Linked DNA regions of Pelodiscus sinensis. The protein of the gene in region 2 interacts with the protein of the main gene of each other region in a pairwise test. Links are inferred from orthologs where the notes say so. Each region holds a gene or a part of one and is shown on either strand. Other genes may lie near its edges.

Region 1 (7,076 bases), on a different chromosome or scaffold from region 2:
CTGGCCCTAGAACAGTAACACGGTTTTATCTATATTTAATAGGGTTTGGCGCTTCAGTTTTGAAACCCTTCCAGTGTCGTTATTCTGCATTGGATTGATTCCCCCACTGTCAATAGCGATAGAGATTCTCATCTCATCACTGAGTTTCCCTGCATTCTGGGAGGGATCTGCTGCGTTTGTATCAATTGGGACCTGACAAGATCCTCGTATGTTGCAGTATTCACCATGGACTTCGCTGGAGTGACCTGCGATTTAGGGTGATGTCACTGAGGCTACGTCTAGACTGAAGGCTTCTTTCGGAAGAAGCTTTTCCGGACGAGATCTTCCAGAGAAACTTCTTTCGTAAGAGAGCGTCCACACAGCAAAAGCGCATCGAAAAAGCAATCTGCTTTCTCGAAAGAGAGCGTCCACATTGATTGGACGCTATCTCGCATTTAAGCTGTGTTTACAATGGATGGAGTGGCCACTAGGGCACCTGTGCTTTTTTCTGGAAACTTCTTCTTTCGAAACCCCCTCCTCTTTCCCATCCCTACGTGCCTTTTTCCGAAAGAGGTCTTTTGGAAAAAGGCTTCTTCCCCGTAGAAAGAGGTTTACTACAGTCAGAAAAACCCCTGCAGTCTCAACTTTCTGTCGAAAGAATGCAATCGCAGTACGGACATAAGTGTCGTATTTCCGGAAAAACAGCCATTTTCCCGGAAAAGCTCTAGAGTGTAGACATACCCCGAAAAGTGAAGCAGGCCCAGATTTCAAACATGGCACCTAAGAAAATGCATTTCAGGGGACTGTTCCATGCTTGCGGCATTGGAGAGAGACCCATCTTCTGTAGCCTGCTGAAGAAGTCTGTATTCTATGTATATAGTTAAAAATACATGGGTGTGGGTGGATGGGGAGGGCTTTGGCTTTGTTCTGTCGAATTAGTAACAGTTTGGCATACACCAATATGCACTAGGAATGAGGCCTACAAGGGATTGGTGGTGGGATAGCTTAGCGGTTCCCCCCCCCGCCCGGATTTCCAATTCCAACCTAGACCAGGTGGGGGGACTGAAAGTTGCCGACATCTGATGTGCACAGAACAAACATGGAGTGGGGAAAATGCCTGTTTCTAAAACGCCCAGCAGGCAGTGGAGGGTGGTCATAGGGTGTTAATCTGAGGCTGAGGATACTGAATGGGCGATGGAGACGGCCCTTTCCTTCCAGCCTCCAAATCTAGATCCTCTACCCCACCCTGCCGGCAGGGGGTTGGCGTGCAGTGAAAACGCTCTCCTGCCTCTCATAGCCCGACACCCCAGCCTTTCCGGCTCTACGTCTGTGGCATCCCAGCACCATGCTGAGTCCACAGAACAATCTCTTCTCTCGCTCCTCCGCGGGGGGGAGTTAAAACGAACCAATCTCAGTGGGTGTGAGGGATAGGAGTGCCGGCCTCCTACAGGGCTAACCTCAGGTAGCTAGGGGTGTTGTTGACAGGGAACCAGCACCACCAATGGGCTACAGTGCTGAAATTTAAATTGTAAACATATTCCTGCGCCCGTTTGCTCTGTCGGGAGAGTTAAGCCAGGAGGGGAGAGACACAGGATGGTTTAAACCCAGCCAGGACTACCATGCCTCCCAGGAATTCGCGGCATGGGAGTAGACTGACCAAGGAAGGGGAAAATGTGTATCTAGGCCCCTGAGGGGGGGAGCTCAAATGATGCCCCCATGTCGCCTCGCTTGGGCCAAAACTTTGAAAGGTCTCAGTTCTCTGGGTCCTAGTGGCGTCTCCTTCCAGTCTGGCGCCTGAAGCGGCCGCCTCAGTTCACCTCATGGTAAGGCCAGCCCTGATCGAGTGCCAATCAGGGAATTTTTCTTTATTTTGGGTCGTTTGGTTTAAACTTCTCTGTGGGAATCTAGGCCTCCCTCTCCCAGTCACCATTTAAATCACTGCCCAAAAGACAATGGTTCTTTGTGTTTTGATTTGTTCTTTCCTGGCTGCTCCGTAACATCTAGCAACCCAGTACACTTTATAGCATGTATCTCGTTCGTTTTGTTAGTCGACATCACTGTCGTAAGGTGACGATTTGACTGTTGTGTCCTGGAAAGTAACGCAGGTCTGTGCAGGGCCGACTTATCCATTAGGCACAGTGCCTAGGGCCCACGATACTTTTAGGGGCCCACAAAAATGTTTGAATTTCTTTTAAAATCAGAAGCAAAGAAAATGAACTTTTAGGGTGGAAGAAAATGTTTTAATTTTTTTCCTCACATCAGAGAAAAATGAAACTTTTAGGGCCCACGACAATCTATTACATTTTGCCTACAACAGAAAAAAATAAAATGTTGAAGTATTTAAAGTTATATCAAAAATAATTTTTAATATTTTTTTTTATGGAGGAAGGAGTCACGAAGGCAAAAGTGCCTAGAGCCCATGAAAGTCATAATGCGGCCCTGGGTCTGTGTGTGTGTGTTTGCCGGCCTGTGACTAGGTGCTTAACTACCAGAGACAGCAACTTGTTTTTCTCTTTTCTTTTTTTTCAAGCTTTTTTGGGGCAAAAGAGCTTGGTCAAGTGTTCCCCTCCCCCCCCCCCCCCAAAAAAAATTTTTTTTCAGGGTAAATCACTTGATGGTGGCAGCTTTTGTTTTCGTTGTTCTCAGAGCCTGGGCATCTGAGAGTCTAGGACTACATCTAAGACCACAAGCCTCTTTCGAAAGACAGCGTCTAGACTGCAACCACTAAAGTGAGCACCCAGGCAGTCTGGATGCTCTCTTCTGAAAAAGCCCTGTTTGCGTTCAAGAACACCTTTTTTCAAAAGAGCACTTTTGAAAAACAGGCATTCTTCCTTGTGAAATGAGGTTTACCGTGGCCGATAAACCTGCCGCATTCTTTCGATTTACTGTCGACAGAACGCGGCGGCAGTCTAGAGGCAGGGGAAGTTTTTTCGAAAAAATCCTGTAGTCTAGACCCACCCTGGGAGTTTTTAGAAGCGGAGCCTAGAGCACGACTACTCAACACGCCGCCCCCGGGTGGGATCCTTTGAACACGGCCTCCACTGGGAACACGCTCTACAATGGCAAAGTGTCTCCCAGATGGGGTGAGCATTGAAAGACACAAGCGGACGGGCTGGCTGGAACAGACAGATACAGGGTGTCGGCATTTCTAGCCCCCAGGAAGGAGGTGCCGGGAGCGCCTGGGCATTGCGTGAAATAATTCATTTGCATATATTTGCACGTATATGCAACCACACTTAAGTTGCGGCCCTCGGCACGTCCTGTGAGCATCACTGTGGCTTCCGGGGTTTCCAAAGTTGAGTAGCCCTGACTTAGAGGCAAAGGCACTTAAAGTCATGGTGGGACCCCACCTCTGCATGCCGAGTGTCAAAGTGGGGACCAGCCCTGACCAGGTGCGTTCTGCTAAATTCTCTACCTCGCTTAGACGCGGAAGGTTCCACGCTGGGTGAATTAAAAGTTCCCAGCCTCCGCTGATTGCTTCCTTAGTATTAGGCTCGTGTGTCCGATGGGATAGGAGGTAAAGGAGGAAATGAGGGGAGGGATGTCCTAGATTTGCTAGTGGGGGGTCCCACATGTTCTCTATTCTAGCCCCATGGAAAGTGACTGAACGGGAGAAGCAAGGGACAGTTTTGTCCTCTTGGCTGTCAGAGGATGGGATATTTCTGCTGCTCAGCCCCAGTGGCAGCACTGTCTTCTGGAAGTCCCAGAGCCCTGGATGAAACTCTCGTTAAGCCCACATTCACCGTCAGCTGATGCGCTCTTATGAGCGATGCAAGGAGGAAAATGCCACTGGAGCCAGGGTGATAAATTCCACCCCCCGAAACAAAAAAGTCATTGAACCAAAAGGGAATCCATTTACCTCTGGAATTTTCTGACCTTTTTGTGGTGCAAGCTGATGTGGGTTTTTTTTAAATAAAACACTGTAAGTTGCTCTTCTGATGACTTTTTCATATTGTTTACTTTTGTAACCCTTCCCTGTGGACTGGGAGCCAGAAATGACGTCCACCCCTCGTCCAGCATCAGAGAATAAGAACTTCAGAGGAAGGAATGCAACTTCAGAAAGAGCAAGCCACAGACGCTAATGGGGAGCAGAGGCAAAGCTGCAGGTTAACAAGTTCTTTGCAAGAGAAGCCCAGACACCCTCCCTGCTCTTGGATCCAAGCATGGTTTCGGCTCGAGCCTTCGTTTTCCTCCTAAGCCTCTGGTGTCCCTTTGCATCAAGTCAGATGACGAGTACAGGAGGTAAGTGGGTTTTAATCACTTCTATGTGCGCGGCCCTTCTCTGCAAACACTGCGGGAAGCGAGAAAGCAGCTGCCAGGTAAAGAACACCTGGTGATACCTGGTCGATTTTTACCCGTTGGAGTGTCATACAAAATCTTGAGCCAACAGGTTTAAACATTCGAGTTCTAGGCTGTTTTTCCCCTCTGTTTATCGATGTTTTGACAAATTAGCCTCTTCCTACGGCAGCAGAAAGGCCCCCATTTTTTGTTATTTTGCAAACAGAACGTGCCCTTGGCAAAGCGTCTTTGTTTTGCAAATGATGAAATTAAAGCCCTTTTGGCTGTAGGGTGTGCTCTGGCCGCTACCTGGGATTTCTGTGCGCCCTGAATTCACACACAGCTCAGAGGAAAACTAGCCCCCTAGGCTAGGAAGTCAACCCCTTGTTTTCAGAGCAGTGCCTCGTTTTTGTCACTTCCTGCCTCCGACGAAAGGAGTTGCAACTCACGAAGGTTTGTGCCAGAATAAAATTGTTAGTGATTCAGGTGGCACCCGGATCCTCCTTGTTCCCTGGCAGTATGTCGGGGGTTTTGCTCAGCGCCTGATGAATCCCTGACTCCCACATCCAGCAACCTGAGACCTAAAAGACCAAGTTCCACAGGGCACAATGTGTTGATGGAAAGCATGAGGGAGGGGAAGAGTAGGGCCTGCCACACACAGGGATTAGCTGGGATTGCTTAGAGTGAGAGTAAAATAATTAAAGACCCACACAGAGACCTAGCTGCCCAGATGTGATTGCCCCAGGCAATCTTGTGTGTTCACTTAAAAACAGCATCCTGCTCTTAGGGACAGACAAACCCTTTTGGATACAATCGGAGGATCTGACCTTACCCAGCAGCTAGAACTCGCATGGAAAATAGTGATAGAGATGTAGCCGTGTTAGTCTGGTGTAGCTGAAACAAAAGACAAGACTACGTAGCACTTTAAAGACTAACAAGATGGTTTATTAGGGGATGAGCTTTCCTGGGCCAGACCCACTTCCTCAGATCAATATGTGGAAGAAAATCAGCACAACCATATGTACCAACGTGATACAATCAAAAAAATGAACGCATGTGAAATTGACAAATCAAATTTTAGAACAGAGTGGGGGTGAAGGGGGAAGGTTAGTTTCTCTGAGGTAATGACCTGGGGAAGTTTCTGTGAAGTAATGACATAGGGGTGATAATTGGGGTAGCTATCTTTGTAAAGGAAAATGTTTGTGAGGTTGAAAAACGTCTGACTACACGCTCTGGATAAAGGGGGATCAGGGGGCTTCATTTGGTATTTGACTTCGTGTTTGGAGGTTAGTTCCTAGACCTAAGCATGCTATAGGGCAGGAGTGAGGGAACCGTATCTGGGTCACTGATATGGCCTCCGACTGAGAAGCAGAAAGACACCAGTGTCTAGGCAGGCCCAGGGTTGTAGATTCTGTGAGGGAGCGGCCGAGAGGGTTCCCCAATGTTGGGGTGAGAGTCCTGAGCCTCGAGGGCTGGATCCAGGTGAGCTGGGGGGGGGGGGGCGCATCTGGCAGTCCTTACGGGGGGTTAAAACGAAGGCCTTGAATGTCATGGCAATCTCGAGGGGGATCTGGCGAGAAAGAAAGCCTTTTTCGACAGATCCTTTATACCTCCTGTGAGGTGGTTTACAGGATCTGTCATAAAAAGGCTTTCTTTCTCGCCAGATCCCCCTCTAGACTGCCGCCGTTTGCCGACAAAGTGCCGAGTCGGCAAAACGTGGTGGCCATTTTTATGCAAATGAGGCCCGGGATATTTAAATCCCTGCCTCCTTTGCAATGTCGACCTGCCTAATCTGCATCCCTCTGCCAACAGAGGGACGCAGTCTAGACACCCAGCTCGGTCGGTGCCCATTCACGGCCTTCGGGCCGGCTGAGGTCTGGGGCTGCCCCTCATCCTGCGCTATACACTGACTTCTGTCCTACTGCCCTGTCAGCAGCAGCCCCCTCCTGGATGCAACCAGCACCAACTTACCACGCCAGCCTGCCTCCCTGCCACATTACCAACGCCTCCCTCTTGAGGGGGGACTGGCGAGGAAGCTCTGGCGCTCTAGTCTGACTCAGGGCCGCTGGAGTCCTGTCACCTTCCTCCTGGAGCATGCAACTCCTCGTTCCTCCCAACAGCTGCCTCCTCGCCACACGCTGGGGAGGGGAGCCGCTGCTAGAGGTCGTGACGATCTGGAGAGGCGGAACCGGGCAGTACAACACCGAGGCGAGCAGACTGTTTGGCAGGCTCCGCCCCTGACGCTCCTGTTTTCTCTAGGCAGGGATGTGGAGCGCCAGATGCTTGCGGAGATGAGAGAAACCAACCTGGCGCTGAAGGAAGTCACCGATTTGCTGAAGCAGCAGGTACGTGAGAACACGGCCTGGTTGCCTCTCGCCCGCTGCCAGAGGGACCCACGAGGCCGCTGCCTTGCACGCAGGCCTGTTGAATAGGGGGATTAAAATGGACACGCTCATCCCGTGGGAAGAGCCTCAGGTGATAGAATCATAGAGCTGGAAGAGACCTCAGAAGGTCAAGTCCAGCCCCCTGCTCTAGGCAGGACCAATCCCAACTAAATCAACCCGGCCAGGGCTTTGTCAAGCCGAGAATTAAACACCTCTAGGGACGGAGATTCCATCATCTCCCTAGGGAACCCATCCCAGTGCTTCTTGCCCTCCTAGGGAAATAGTTTTTCCTAATGTCCAACCTAGACCTACCACACTGCAACTTGAGCCCATTGCTCCTTGTTCTGCATCTGTCACCACTGAGAACAGCCTCTCTCCATCCTCTTTGGAACCTCCCTTCAGGAAGTTGAAGGCTGCTCTCAAATCCCCCCTCAC
Region 2 (7,581 bases):
ACCCGGGTAACCCACGGAGGGGTGCAGTAAGTCCATGGCAGGTCCGGTCAGCCCCAGCCCATTCATGCCATAGGGGGGCTGTTTGAGGTAAGACATCATGCTAAAAGCTGGAAAGATTTTCCCCGATTGATCACAAAAACAAAACAAAAAGTCTTAAAACGTCTTGAAGTCACAAAACGGGTTCTTCCAGGCGAGGGCAGAAAATCCGGGTGCAGAACAGTCTCCTCGCTCCCTAAAAGAAAAACAAAATACACACGGAACAAAAGACAAACATCAGAAGCTCTTCGGAGCGGAATCGACAAAACCCGGTGACTTCGCAGGGCGCGCTACACACCGCTGGGATTCGGAGTTTGAATTCGCGAGAGAAGAGCGGCGCCGATCACATTAAAATGAATCGAAAGCGCAGGGAAGTTTTACCTATTTGTGCGTCTATTAAATTAAATCGGTTTTTTTGCGGGGGGGGGGGGAGGTGGATTGCAAAAAGACACAAGAGCACAGACTCCTGTTCGTTGCAAAGGGAGTTGTATTTCTCTCTTCGCCAAAAAACAACCAACCAACCCACCCAACAAAACAACCAAAACAAAACCCCACGCAGTACAAATAAAATCGAAAGTTTCGCTCCTTTTCGTGGTCAGTATTATTGTTCGAAAGTTGTTGCGCGTCTAGAGAAGGGTGTGCGGGGGGAACAGTCAATATGGCCGACACCCCCCCAAACATAGTGAAATAAAAAAAGTACGAGAAGTGAGTTTTTTTTTTAAAGAGCAGAGCCATATTAGCATACAATCGCCGTGGGGGCTTGGAGGAGGGCACAGTACAAGTGATGGGGGGAGATAAAGCAATTATTTAAAAAGATAATTGGATTAGAAATCAAAACGAGCTATCAAAAGAGGGACGTATAATTAATTTAAGAGAGAGCAGAAGGGGACATTTTAATTAGAAATGGGTAGCAGTTAAAAAAACCCAAACAGATTTAGAAGCACTTTGAAATTCATATTCCAGGGGTTTCCTCCCGTAGGGGTGATAAACAAATTTGCACAAGGGGTGCGTGTGGGTGACGGAGGAAGTTTTCACGTCCTCTCACTAGGGATAAATAAAAGGGGGAATTGCTCTGCCTAGCTGGGTGACCTTACCCGGCTTTGAGAAGTGCCAACTCAAACCCGTCGCCTCACGGTTTCCTGCCAATTCAGTTTGTCTTGCTGTTCTCCAACAGCAAAGAATTTACAAGCGGGACCGCGGAACTGGAATGTATCTATTTCCCCCCCTCAGAGCCAAGTAAAAATTTCCAGGTAAAAATCCACAACCTTGATCCCAGCTCCTGAAATCTCTCTCCGCAGGCCACAGACACCTAAGCACCCTCAGTGTCCGCCACGAGAAAAACTAGAAGAGACCAACCAAATAAAATAAAATCTGAATTCCTGCAACAGATGGTGGCGGCTCTAATCACAAGTAATCACTTGCTACAAACTTTAATTGGGTGCAGGGCCATGTTGTCTCCAGCTGAGTTTCCTGTATTTGCACCAGAAAGATTTAAAAAAGGGGGGAGGAGGGGTTTGTTTGTTTGTTTTCGCCGTTAAGGCCATTTCCAAATTAATTTACATCCTCCAGGGGTGCTGGAGCAATGTGTATAGTGTGTGTGTGTGTGTGTGTGTGGGGGGGGGTAATATGCTGAGCGCCAATGCACCCAACTGTAAACTCTGCATGAGATGGAAAACACGGCACCCCCCGCACCCGTAGTTCCAGCTCCCAGGATCACCTGTTGCACTGGACAGCTGGGATCCCCTCTAGTGTAAATGGGTTTCGGTTTTAGGGTCTGGGTGGAAATTAAGCGCGTCCGGTTTAGCTCGCAGTTTGGAGTGAGCGGACACGCACGCAGGAGGTTTCCACAGGCCTGTGTGCACTTTCCTGCGGATTTCCCGAAAGTACCGAGTCCATTGCAAAGCGTCCTAACCTCCCAGGCCAAGGGGTGCTGTGGAGGCCGATTTATCCTCCCAGAGACTCCCGACCAGCATCGGCGCCCGCGCCTCTAGTCCCAGAGAGCGCCATGGACACAGAAGCGCCCCAGGCCGGGAGAGAGGGCTCCAAAGAGGATCCGTGGCTTGGCGGTGGCGCATCGAAGGCAGCAGGTTCCCCCAGGCCAGGCCAAGCCCTGCTTCCCTCTGAGCGGCTCCTGGAGAGGAGCCTGGCCGGGCCTGGAGTGATTTGGCCCCATTATGTAAGTTTCTTTGCCAGCCCCACAGCGGCACCCTCCCAGGCAGGGGGAGGAGGCGGGGAGAGAACGGCGCCGCACATTCGGCTAAGACACAATCCAGGAGTCCCACACCCACCAGCACCCCCGGGCAGGGCTTCGCCAACCCCCGCGCGGGACCCGCCAGCTGCGCTACCAGGGAGCGGAACTTGGCCGGGGAGTTGCAAAGTCTGGCGGGGACACGCGGGCAGCCCGGAGCGCCTCGCCCGGCTCCACCAGGGGCCAAGGTGCCGAGCCGGGCTCAGCCGCACAAGGGGCCAGGCAGAGCAGACGGGCCGGGGCGCCCCTGCTGCTCCCGGAAAGTCCGGGCTGGGGGGGGGGGGGAAGCTCCTGCAGCCCATAGCGCCGGGACAGATTGCGCAGGAACCAGGAGCCTCACCTGCCCGTACCCCTGGGGCGCTGCCGCTAAGGCCCCGGCCAGGAGCGGACGGGCCAGATTCCGGGCGCTTGCAACGGGCTCCCTACTGTCCCCCTGCCCCGCGCTGCCACCCGGGGGGGGGGGTGAGTGGGGGCGGCTCCTTGCACTTTCTTTGCGGGCAGCGCTAAGTTCTGCGGGGCGCCGGGGCCGCGCGTGGGGCAGGGCAGGGGGGAGCCGGCCCCGCAGCGCATCCAGCGCGTTACCTTGTGGCAGGAGCGGTCTGGCCCGGGCGCTTAGGTGATTGGAAATGTAGCCTGATGAAGATTGATCACCTTTCCACCGCCCTACCCTTGTATGTGAGCGCGAGGCAAGTGCGTAACCGGCCCGGCGCCAATCCCCGGCCTCCCCCAGCCTGACTGACAGCCGCCTTGGCCAATGGCAGCTCAGGATGCGGGTTACCTCTGCACGCCCCCTCCCTCCTCTCCGGCTCCCCACTCCACCCCAGCCCTGCCGCGCGCGCCGGCTCCCCCGGGGCAGGCGGCGGCGCAGCCCCTGGTGCTGTCCTGCCCGGACAAAGCCCGTCCCGGGTGCAAGTGACTCGGGACTAGCTCGGGGGAGGGGCTCCCGGAGTGCCCCGGCTGGACTAGCGTACGCTCCGCCTAGCCCGGCGCCCACAGGGAACTTTCTGCGCGTTTAATTGCTGCCCGTGCGCGTCTGTGTGAAGCTGAGTTGTATTTGCGCGCGCACTGAGCAGCGCTTCTCCCTAGGCGCGCAGCGAGCAAACCTGAACTCCAAGGGGCGACAGCGCCTAGCCGGGCCGCCCGGAATGTGGAGCAAGTTCCTTCTAGTGGGTTTCCCAGTCCTGCCCCAGCCTGACTTTTTCTTCTACGACTCCACTCGCTCTCCCAAAGTTTGCAACCCCCGTTTTTTCGTACGCTCCGGTACGAACCAGGGCTCCTAAGTGCGCAGAAATGTATGTCACGAAGGAAGGCTGGGATGGCTGGTCTGCCACCGGCAACGCCCTGCAAATCACCCCTTTCGTTCCCGTTTGTGTTTGGGCAGGACCTAGGCTGGGAGAGAAGGATTGTGCTGGCCTGGGATGGGTTTCGTTTCACGGGTTTCCCCCTTTCCGAAACATCCCAAGTGCCCGTTCTGAAAATCGGTCCCAACCTTTATTTGAAGCGCGCCGCTCGTGAAACCTACACAACGAAGGAAGCGAAGGGAATGGCGATGGGTGACCATAAACTTGGGCTTTCCCTCTCCAAGCTCTCAGGCCCCACAATGATCTCGACATATATATGTTTAAGTTGCGCCGTCTCATAAATATTAACGAAGGGCCCTAATCTCTTCCTAAGAATCACTCCTTTTTTTTGTAGTTTAATAGGAGAATGTCCAATAACACAAAGGGAAATCTGAAAAGGGGGTAATAATAATAACATGCAAAAAAAAAAATCAACTCGTTGCCAGCAAAATAAATTAAACGCGGCCGGGCATCAAAGTAAGTGTTTTTCACGAGACACTTTCCTTTGGCGTCCCAATAAAACACGGTAACAGAATATCATGGATGCACACTGTTTCCCTAACTGCTTCTCAAAGGGTCCAGGCGATCTTCTTAGGACCTTTAATAAGGCTTTGGTGCGGGTCTTTTGTTGATCTCTCAAAATCAACTCCTTCTCATTGAAGCTGGAGCTGAAAGCGAGCTAATGTTCAAAGGAAGTGACCGCCGGCCCAAACGAAATTACATTTTTTTTCGGGCGATGAGGGGACATCTAATCAAAGCGGGGGGGGGGGCGAGGTAGAAGGAGGAGAAGGGACGAAAGAAAAGGAGGGTTTACAAGATCTTTCTATAGTCCACAAAAGTCAGCGACACGGGCACTTCTCCGGGGAACAAAGGCGCCGCAGCCCATTCACAAAAAGTAAAGGGCTGTCAGGGGACACCAGTCCCGGGGTCCCTACCTTTGCCTTTGTAGGCACAGGGAGCAAGCCCCGCTGAGGCACCTGAACCTTTGTCCCAGGGTGGTAGGCCAGGAGTTGGGGGCCGATTTTTAAGCAGGAAGGGCTGTTCTCCAACGCGCGCCCGGGCAAAGGGAGCCCGGCCAGGCTCGCCAAAAAGCCCATATTCTCGGCTGCGCCCAACTCCCCAGCAATCGGCTCCCGGTTATTCGTGCAGGAGAGGGGGTTGCTTGGCCAGCCGGGGCTCGGCTGCCCGGCCCGCTCCCGCTTGGAGCTTGGCTCTGGCGCTGGGGCTCAGCCCCACAGGCTGGGGCTGGGAGCGGGGAGGTATCAGGTAGCACTGGCCCCTGCCCGTGCAATCAGAGCACTTGTCTAATCCCAAATTGCAGGCGAATTTTCTTAATGCGCAGCCCATAAAAGCCCGGGATTAGGGGGAGGCAGGGGGCACACGGCGCAGAGCGAGCGCGCGAGAGAAAAGTTTGGCGCCGCGCTGGGGGCTGCACGCAGAGGCGGCGGCGCAGCAGCCGCGGCGGAGGCGCAGGGGGGGCGGTCAGGGTACCCCGTCCTGCCCCCACCCATCTCCAGGGACCGCGCTGCAAGGGGGAGCGCTGGGTGCGCACAGGTAAGCGCCTGCGGGGCCCGGCCTTCCCGTAGCCCCTCTCGGCCCCCGGGAGGGGGGTAGGGTCCCAGGGCTGCAGCCGGGCACCGGAGGCGTGTGCGCGGGATCCCGCAGCACCTGCTGCGCCTGGGCAGGACCCCGAGGCACGTGGGAAGCTACAGGGGTTGGGGCGCTCGGGGGGAGGGGGCGTTTGACTGTCTCGCCCCCATTGACCCAGGAGCCCCTGGGCTGGCTGGGACGGGGGGGGGAGGGGCGGGAGTTCAGCTGGCTGCAGCGAGTTTGCCAAACAACCGGGCAATGCCGCGGGGAGAAGCCCCCCAAGTTCCCTGCTCCCTGCAGCGGCCCCGGAGCCTGGGGCTGGACCCTGCTGGCGGAGAACAGCCCGGTGGACGCTGCTTCTGACCCCTCCCCCCGGAGCATTTCAGCCCCTTGGCTTAGTGGCCAGCGCTGCCCTGGAGCGCCCGCGTCTCGCTCTGTGCTCCGTGCCCCAGCATGTCTCCCCCTCCCGGTTCCATGCACCCTCTTCTTCCGCGCCCCCGCTAGCCCACAGCCCCAGCCCGAGGGCTGAGCCACCCCCTGGAGCCCGGGCCAGAGAAACCTGCGCCCGGGAAGGCAAAGCGAGCCGGGCCCAGCCCCTGAACGGGCCAGTTGGAAAAGGCCAGAGGACGCCAGCTGTCAAAACTTATTCCCCCTTCATCAGAGCGGAGGCAGCAGCGAGGACTCCGCCGTGGCCGGTGTCATTGGCACAGGCTCCTGCTCCGCAGCCCAGGGCCCTGCGAGGGCGAACAGCTGTTCGCTGCGAATTAACCAATTCTCCTCTGACTCTTAGGCGCCGAGAAAGCGCGTTAACCTACATTAACCACCCCAAAGTGCGCACTTGTCTCGGGCCAAATCAAGAGCGGCTGGTCCAGCAGGCCGGCAAGAGAGAACACAGCCCAGAAACGGAGGTGATGGGCGGGGGTGATAGAGTCAAAGGGCGAGGGGGAGAAGGAGGCAGATCCGGGCCCGATTCGCATCCCCCAGTGAAAGGAGATAAGAGGTTTAATTCATTTAGCATATGAACCACCTCGGCAAGGGATTCCCATGATGGGCAGATCCGAAGGCACATGCCCAGAGCCCCGGTATTTACACTGGCACTTTATCATTTTAACCGGATTATTCACGAGGTGGATTTGGTAACATCTCGTGTGTTCTCTCCGCACGGGTCAGAAAACCGCGTCTCTCTTCCAAGCCGCGGCGGCAGGCGCAGGAGCAGCTGCTGAGATGGGACTCTCCCCTAGCCCCACTTGGCTGGATTTTGCAGCGATTGGATGAGGGGATTTGATTTTCACCGGGGCTCCATGGCGCAGGAAGGTGGCGGGGCCAGCTCCCCCAAAGTGCCCGCGGAGCCACTGGGTCCCGTCCCAGAAACTTCGCACGAACTTTTCCCCCGGCCTGGGAGGCGCAGATTTGAGCGGCAGCATTCCTGTATGCGCCGGCTGGGCTGTCCTTTCCTAACTGAGGCATGATTTATAGTCTCTTGTAAAACTTCGCTGGCACTCTGAAGCCTAAACCTGCCGCATTATTATTTTCAGGTCTTCCCAATTTGTCGAACAGACTTCCTTTTGTTAGGGAGAGGGCTGGTTTGCTACTGGAATGAGTTGAGCAGGCGGATACAGGCATACGGCTGCGCCATGTCAAAAGTTGAACTTTTTGTCTGGCTTGGTGGTTCTATCACTAAATACAATTTTTTAAAAAATTGCAGTTCGCTGAGAGTTGACAAAGAGCTTTGATCTGGCCCGCTGAGCTATAAAAAGGCAAGCCACTGCAAAGGAAGGTGAAGAAAACGATGCACTGTGGCCAGTTCTGAAAATCTTGGACAAAGTAGCAGTGACCAGAGGTCTGATTTGCAAAATCTTAATGTAAACCGGAACAGGTTCCAAAAAAAGAGAAATTGGAACCTTCTTGGACAAACAAGACTTGTATCTGGAAAAGTTTTACAAATAAAACCAAGGCCATGGCTTTTTAATCCTCACCCCCAAAAGAAAATTCTATTTTTGTATCTGAAGGTGTATCTTTTGCCTCTAGACTGGTGCCAGGTAGGAAGCTGTTGCATTTGCAAATCATTTTTTACAAATTCATTTTAAAAATTAAATAAACCTTTCCCCATCTCCCCTCCCCCCAAACAATCAGAAGTAAACTTTTCACACTGGGAAGAGAAGACAGCAACAGTTAACGGTAAGAAAGATTCAGCTTTTATTGAAAATTTATATATGACTCAGTATTGTAATAAATAACAGTTTTCACAAAAATGAGCGAGCAATGGAAGCAAAAGGAACTCTAACTGAGAGGGGGTTTGCACACAATGGCAGAACAGACTTTAATAGCTACTGAATAAATATGAACAGCATTCTGGAGCCAACAAAA

What was found.
Region 1: the proteins of OTX1 (region 2) and COMP interact in binary tests that used the Homo sapiens proteins (3 or more experiments, as listed by UniProt). The two-hybrid records come from large-scale screens. The link is inferred for Pelodiscus sinensis from reciprocal best matches to the Homo sapiens genes OTX1 and COMP.

The regions. Positions count from the first base shown.
Region 1 is NC_134729.1:19,486,333-19,493,408, forward strand, and holds the start of COMP (cartilage oligomeric matrix protein), read left to right. Parts: upstream 1-4,063; 5' UTR 4,064-4,142; coding exon 4,143-4,221; intron 4,222-6,516; coding exon 6,517-6,602; intron 6,603-7,076. UniProt on the Homo sapiens protein: Plays a role in the structural integrity of cartilage via its interaction with other extracellular matrix proteins such as the collagens and fibronectin.
Region 2 is NC_134713.1:185,274,760-185,282,340, forward strand, and holds the start of OTX1 (homeobox protein OTX1), read right to left. Parts: upstream 3,004-7,581; 5' UTR 2,867-3,003; intron 1,378-2,866; exon of another isoform or gene 1,302-1,377; intron 233-1,301; 5' UTR 100-232; coding exon 3-99; intron 1-2. UniProt on the Homo sapiens protein: Probably plays a role in the development of the brain and the sense organs. Can bind to the BCD target sequence (BTS): 5'-TCTAATCCC-3'.